Tribolium castaneum: one gene and its partner. The protein of the gene in region 1 purifies or fractionates together with the protein of each later gene. This does not show direct contact. Links are inferred from orthologs where the notes say so. Each region holds a gene or a part of one and is shown in the gene's direction. Other genes may lie near its edges.

Region 1 (3,960 bases):
CAATATGTAATAATTATTACCTAATTACTTTTGTTACTTTTTACTCATAATCACAAGTGAAAGTATTTCCTAACGATAGCAAGCATAAGGAACTTAATGTAGAAAAAAACTAAAAAATTGCAAGTTTGTTAAAAAACTTGAAAAATTTAAATGAAACACCCTATTTTTTGTTTTTGCTTCTTAAAGATCATAAAAAGATATAAAGATTTTTGATCAAGTTTGGTACATTTTTGAGTTTTGTGAGAGAATCTCGCGATGAAATTGAGTTTTTGCCAAAATATTTAAGTTTTGACACAATTTTCGAATTGGAATGTATCAAAGACAAATCGATCGACAGTTTATCCACGATTTTTGAAGCCCAGTCTAATAGAAAACTAGAAATTTTCTTAGAAAACAGAAAAATTTCAGATGATATGGCCGAGATTTCCAAAATAATCAAACAACAGTTTTTTGTTCAGTTCCAATTTATTTCGAGTTGTAAGAAAAGCTCTCGAAAAATGCGTGTTAAGAAAGTTTGTTTAAAAAAGAGGCTGAAAAAAGAAAAAAATATGTCAAAATCACATAAATTATTTAACTGTTGGAAAGTTTTTTTTTCTAAACTACGGCCAAATGGTGAGACAAAACTGAAATATTTTGGACCAAGTCTGTGTAATATGTTCCAACTATGGCCACTTTTCTGTTGTTCAGTAAGAACCCACCAAAATAAAAAAGTCATTTTCCTATGGAACTTTGGTTCGTTCAAAATAGTCATAACTTGAAGCCGTCAATGTAGCAATAAATTATGCTTCACCTGACGCACAACCAACGCGTCTCCATTCAAAAAACTCCAACAACCGCTAATTGCGCTAATAAATTTCCAGTTCCACATTGACCATCTCGTCCCAGCTCATTCATAAGTTCATTGATCTACCATCAAATTAATCCAAAAAAAACGCAATCCCTCCAACACCACCGCAATTAAAAATTCTCAAACCAGAATGATAGACGCGCTACCGCATTACGTAAACCCATCGACCCATCGGACTCGCTACCATCTCCCCTGACCCCCAGCTCGACCCACCCATTGGTCGACTCTACCATGGCTTTTTCATCTTTTCCCAACAATAATACAGATCAACATTCTTCTACGCAAGGAGCACAATAGCCCCATCTCTCTCTTACCTGTTGCTCACAAGGTCACTAATCTACCTGTGACACTTCGGCCGTCTTCGCCTCCGGTCGCTCCGGGCTCGAGAAGCGCGACGTTCAATTGTTGTCATTCGAAATCGAGTCGTCGAGAGGTGGTGTTGTTGTTGCTTCGAGTTGTGCAACAGGTTGTCGTACTTATTTTGTTTTTTCCCATGACACTCGGATGATGACTTAGTGCAGTGTTGTGATGCTGTGAGCAGTGTTTTTTTTTTTCTGGAATTTTGGTTTTGTTTTTCTCAAAATGGATATTTTTCTCCTGGGGATTATCCTGGCCATGGCTGGCTTTGGAGGGTGTAATGTGGACATGGGGGTTAGAGGTGAGTGCGTCTCTCTGATGAGCTGTCTTTAATTTTTTTATTTATTTATTGCTTTGGAATAATGTTTGTTTATTGCGCGCTTCTTTGGAAATCGCTTACAGAGGTCTCAAGACCACTTGGGACCGTTTAAAAGGAGAGCCGCATTCCAACTGATGCTTTCAAGTGTCACTTTTTTGAAACGTCGATCCATCACTCTTTGTTCAAAAATTTCGGATTCAGGTCAAGTGGAGGGTGAAATTTTGAGGGCTTTAATTACTCCAATTAAAACTAATTTTTCGGGACGTTGGCTTGAAGTTAAGTTGGCCACATTATTTATCTTTTTTCCGTTTTTGCGTTAATGTTGCCAACTTGATTTCAAAATTTATGGCTTTAATCAGAAAAAAATCGGCTCTAATGAGGCTTGAATTACCTATTAGTTTTTTCTGCATTAGGTACATCCAGATATGTTTTCAGTTGTAATTACTAGTGAATTAAAAAATAATGACTAATTCGAAATTCGCACCCTCACTCAGGAACTTTGTGTGACAAGGTTGGCAGCTCTGGATAAAAAGACCGCCATAATAGTGACACTGAGACGCTAGACTGTGTGGTCGTGATGTGCTTTTTATTTTTGTGATGTTTCCTTGTGTTTGTGATTGTGTTGTTAAAATTAACAGCCTTAACACTAATTATTCGTATGGTGACAATCAAAAACTTTTGGTAACGACGATTTACCGATTTCATTTCACCACTCCTGTGCCAGATCCTGTTTTCTTTCCTTTTCTCCAGTACCAGGTCAGTTTTTCCTTTAATTTTTATAGTTGGACAAATGTATGGAACCAAGCATTCTGTGCCTAACTATGTACCTTACGAAAAAACCTCTTAGTACCTCATGAAGGACTTGAAAATGGGGTTATGTTTAAAGTACAATTTTTTTTGGGTTATTATAAAAAAAAATCAAAATTTTATTTTTACACCAATGTTTTTTTTTAAATAATTATGAAAGTTCCATACTTTTGCTCAACTCTGTATGCAAAACTCAGTCTTTTGGGACATTTTAAAGACGATCTTGCCATGGAAAATTCGGTATCTATTATTTTACGGACCATAATAAATGTGAAAAAAATAGAATTGTTATTTATTGTCCTACAACCTTATAAATTGCCACATTGTGAAGCGCTTCCAAAATTTTTTACATCAGATTTTTTTCTAAATTTCTTTAAAACTCTACATTCGATCGTAACAAAAAAAAGTTAAGGCATCGGTTATGAATTACGCTCATTAAGGACCTTAATGAAAATAAGAAAAAGAATAATTTTTTTATGGAAATAATCCAAAAAGTTTGGAAAAAAAACTAATTTTTTGTGGGAAAAAATATCAAAAATCAGAAACTTGTTCAAAGTTACTTGAATACCAGCAGAAACGTGTGAAAATGGAAAATAAACTTATTTTTTGTGGGAAAAACTATCAAAAATCAAAAACTTGTTCAAAGTTACTTGAATACGAGCAGAATTGTGTGAAAATGGAAAATAAGTTTGGAAAAAAAACTTATTTTTTGTGGGATAAAATATCAAAAATCAGAAACTTGTTCAAAGTTACTTGAATACCAGCAGAAACGTGTGAAAATGGAAAATAAGTTTAGAAAAAAAATTTATTTTTTATGGGAAAAAATATCTAAAATCAAAAACTTGTTCAAAGTTACTTGAATACGAGTAGAAACGTGTGAAAATTGTTTAGAAATCATTGAGCAGTTAGTACTTGAAGGTTTTTGTTTTTTCTGTTTTTTTTAGTTTTTTCTGTTTTAATTGGTCTAAAATTTTTCGTATTAGGTATTCACATGAAGAAAAAACTTTTATTTCTTATTTTTTATTTTTATTTATTTATTTATTTATTTTATTATTTTTTATTATTTATTTTTATTTATTCTTTTTATTTATTTCACCTATATACAGTGCGTTTTACTTTTTGTTTATCATAACTTTTTTTTTATTTTCTGGAGGTATTTTCTGTAGTACCAGTATTAACTATGATAGTCTTATTATTCTAAGAATTTTTTAATTTTTTTTTCTGTTTTAATTGTTTTTAAATTTTTTGAATTATGTATTCACATGAAGAAAACATTTTTATTTCATCTATATATAATGCGTTTTACTTGTTATTGAGCATAACTTTTTTTTAATTATTTGGAGGTAGCTATGTAGTACCGGGATAATTATGATAGTCTAGTTATTATTCTAAGAAATTAAAATTTTAGTAATGTTTTTCTTGGACAATATTCCGGTAACTAAAAAACCTTTACTACCACTTTTTTTGTTATTATTTGGCAAAAACAATTATTCTCTAAGTTTCCTAATGTATAAGTTAAGACCCACCCTCTATAGACAAATGGGTGACCAATTTATCTCTCTAAATTTTGAAAGACATTTTCTTCACTTTTTTTCAATTATACCAGAAAATAATATAATAAAGTTTTGTT
Region 2 (3,600 bases), on another chromosome or scaffold:
TTTCTGATCATTAGAATAGCGTCAAGTTTACAATGTTGTCATTCCACCGTGAAGATTTCCGTTTCCTTTTAAACACAGATAAATACCTTCGCGTATGATGCAGGCCCGGCCTGGCCCACAAACCTGTTTTCAAACAATGAGCCCAAAACTTTTAGAGAAAACCCCTCGATATCCTTATTCACTGCATTTCGTACACCACCACAAACAAAACCAATACCCAATTGTGGCTGGAAGAAGTGTGTAATTTTATTTCAGTTTTCTCGAAAATAAAAAAATGTTGAACAAAGTTTTTACTGACAACATTGTCAATTAATTAATAATGTGTATTATTTTGTATCAATGCATTTGTAACTGAAAAAAGCCATTCATGCCAATAAACCGTTTATAAAGCGATTGTTTGGGTGAAAATATTTAGTTGGGAAATTTTGTTTTGATTATTTATTAATTCCTTTATGAAGCACACATAGCTATTGACCATAAAAATAATTTGTAGGATATTGCCTAATAAAACAGTGAAATGAATGTTTTTTTCATTAAGATCTTAAATATAGGTAAGTTAGGTATAATCAGTTATAAGATAAGAACTTTCTGCACGAAATAATCTAATACAATTAAGCTAAAAATAGCTCATCTATAATAATAGTAATTCTCTTGAGAAATAACAACCCGCAAGTTCGTTGCATATTTATCCCTCGGAAGAAAAACGCTCGGCTCAAGTTTTACGAAGTTATAAATTTTTAAAATCCGGCTCTGTCTGCGCCGACTAAATAGCCAAATACCTCGGCACAACAAAGACCTGTTCGGTGTCCGGAGAAATAAATTAGTGTGACTGGGCTAGAGCCGACACAACAGAATAAAATCCCTTAACGTATTGAATGGTGTCAAAGCTCTACCTTGAAGCTTTCTAATTGGACGTTTCACGCCAGGTACCGAAATACCGATCCATTCATTCTGGTGGGGTGTAGGCAAAAATAGTTGTAGAAGACGTTATTAATGAGAGCATGTAGTTTGGGCCTAGCAAAAATCAGTACGTTGATGCGGTGGTTACTTGTGAACCAGTGCGCAACGCCGAGATGGTGACGGGGCCCGAGGCGAGACAACGAGGAAGGAGTAGACAGCCCTCTCATTCAGTCATCGTTCGGCGTCCGTGATGTTCGCGCAAAGACCAGTCTTCGTGGGGCTAACCACTTAATCAGTCGTCGGCGCGTCGTGCAACATGGTGTTGGTGGTGGGGCTGGTGACCCTCCTAGTGCTCACCCCGTGCTTAGGGGGCAACTGCCCGTCCCCGTGCACCTGCAAGTGGAAAGGGGGCAAGCAAACAGTGGAGTGCACGGAGCGAGGACTCATCACCATCCCCGAGAGCGTCGATCCGGAGACGCAAGTATTGGATTTGTCCGGAAATAATTTGCAGATCCTGCCCAGAGAGACGTTCGTTCGGTCGGGGCTACTCAACCTCCAGAGAGTGTTTCTAAGACGTTGTCGGATCGGGCAAATCGACGATCTCGCCTTTAGAGGATTGACGAATTTGATCGAGTTGGACTTGTCGCACAATCTACTGACGGCGGTTCCGTCCGGGACGTTCCGGGACGTACCGTTCTTACGCGATTTGGTACTTGCGTACAACCCGATTCAAAAAATAGACAGTCAGGCTTTTAAAACTATCCCGGGACTTATTAAACTCGATTTGTCGAATTGTGAAATACAAGTTATTGCTTCGAAGGCGTTTGAAGGGATTGAAATGTTGGAGTCACTCAAGTTGAACGGAAACCGGCTCTCGGAGTTACGTTTGAGGACTGTGGAGACGCTAAACAGACTCCATGGGATTGAAATGCACGACAATCCCTGGCATTGTGATTGTCGGTTGCGAGCAGTCAAAGAATGGCTCGTTAATAACAATATTCCTTACCCCATCTCGCCGATTTGTTCCGGAGGACCTGAAAGACTCATCGATAAGACGTTTACGGAGCTTCACATCGATGATTTCGCTTGTAAACCTGAAATCCTCCCCGTAAATCGCTACATTGAGGCGACTTCCGGCTCAAACGCGACGATTTTATGCCGAGCGAACGCCATCCCAGTGGCTAACATCAACTGGTATTGGAACGGACGTCCCCTTCTGAACAACTCAGCTTTCAGCTCACACCAAAGAATCCACGTTTTCGAAGAGGGCAAGCAGGAGAAGCGCAGTGTTTTAGTGTTGACAAACGTCCAAGAGATCAATTCGAGTGAATTCTATTGTGTGGCGGAGAACAGGGCTGGGAATGCCGAAGCCAACTTCACCCTCCACGTCTCGATGCGAGCTGCAGGGATCACAACGCTTGGCAGCGGCCAAATCGCCGGTCTCAGTGTCGCTCTCATAATTCTAATAATCTTTATCCTCCTGGTCATTTTCGTGCTGCTTGTCCGCCTCCGCCGCATCCCCTTTTCCGAGAGCAAAACCTCCGGTCAGATTGAAGTCGTAACTGTGGTCAACGGAACGTCCAAAGTGGAGGAACCCTCTCACGAGCATACCAAGCCGACCGAGTTGAATTTCTGCAATCCAGTCCAAAAGCCGCCCCGTTTGAGCGACTCCACGATCCCAGCTTCCTGTTTCGTGTCTCCCTCGTCGGCCTCCGGGAACAACCCTGACCTAATCAACGACACCAAACCGTCGGAGGACCCCGAAGGGTTGGAGAGGCCCGCCAGCGGCGAGTACAGTCGCAACGCTGATTCGCTCTATCCCTCGGGATTATGGGAGACGGACTACTCGCGTCAGGTGAATTTCTACGACGATAAGACGCCCATTATGGACGGGATGAGTGGCGGAGGGTCGCTGGAAGAGTTGGCGTTCAGGGCGCAAGGATATCCGGCTGATTATGGGCTTCCCATCGCTGACAAACAACAAACTTTGCCCACGAATGCGAAAACGCTGAGGGTGTGGCAGAAGGGAGGTGTTCCCGTTTTACCTCCGGTGACGGCACTCAAAAGAGCGCTGACTCACAGCAGAAATTCGCCGGATGAAGGGTATCAAGAAGGCTGCGGGACTGATGTTTAAGTGTGAATTTACCAAAGACTGCGTTCCTAAGACACTGGTTGTACATAATTTAAGTTTTCTGTAACCACAGTGCTGTGAGTACACCGGAAAGGGGATATTTAGATAAGTTTGTATTTCCTTATGTGATAATTGTTTCGTAGCGAAACTTGTAAATATTGTGTATAGACTGTAGATAATGTTGTTTATGGCGTTATGAAATTCATAGACTAAGTATACACGCTCAAAAGACTGACCATTATATTTACCAACTCAAAATTCATTTCTAGATCCCCATTTCATTTATTTTTCTATTTATTGTAAATGTTCATTGTCAGCAGCTATAGCAAAGATTTTTATGTAACATAATAGTGTATTGTTGTTTGCAACAGACGTGTAAATGTTAATATATTACAATGTTATACCCTAAATTAACGGTACCTAATATCAATTAATAATAATAATTCAGTATTCTTAATGTTACCAACATGTATATAAATGTGAAAACGGTGCGTAACTTTTGGTAATAAACAATTTAAAAGAAAGTCATGTTTCATTCCAATTTCTCACACTGTCGATAATATCACTAA

What was found.
Region 2: the proteins of Egfr (region 1) and kek1 purify together in Drosophila melanogaster (affinity purification with western blotting; 5 studies listed by BioGRID). This does not show direct contact. The link is inferred for Tribolium castaneum from reciprocal best matches to the Drosophila melanogaster genes Egfr and kek1.

What each region holds. Positions count from the first base shown.
Region 1 is NC_087394.1:3,580,918-3,584,877, forward strand, and holds the start of Egfr (epidermal growth factor receptor), read left to right. Parts: upstream 1-1,243; 5' UTR 1,244-1,429; coding exon of another isoform or gene 1,430-1,505; intron 1,506-3,960. UniProt on the Drosophila melanogaster protein: Receptor tyrosine kinase, binding ligands of the EGF family and activating several signaling cascades to convert extracellular cues into appropriate cellular responses. Known ligands include spitz, gurken, vein and giant-lens.
Region 2 is NC_087402.1:10,562,752-10,566,351, reverse strand, and holds kek1 (leucine-rich repeat-containing protein 24), read left to right. Parts: upstream 1-1,042; 5' UTR 1,043-1,216; coding exon 1,217-3,034; 3' UTR 3,035-3,555; downstream 3,556-3,600.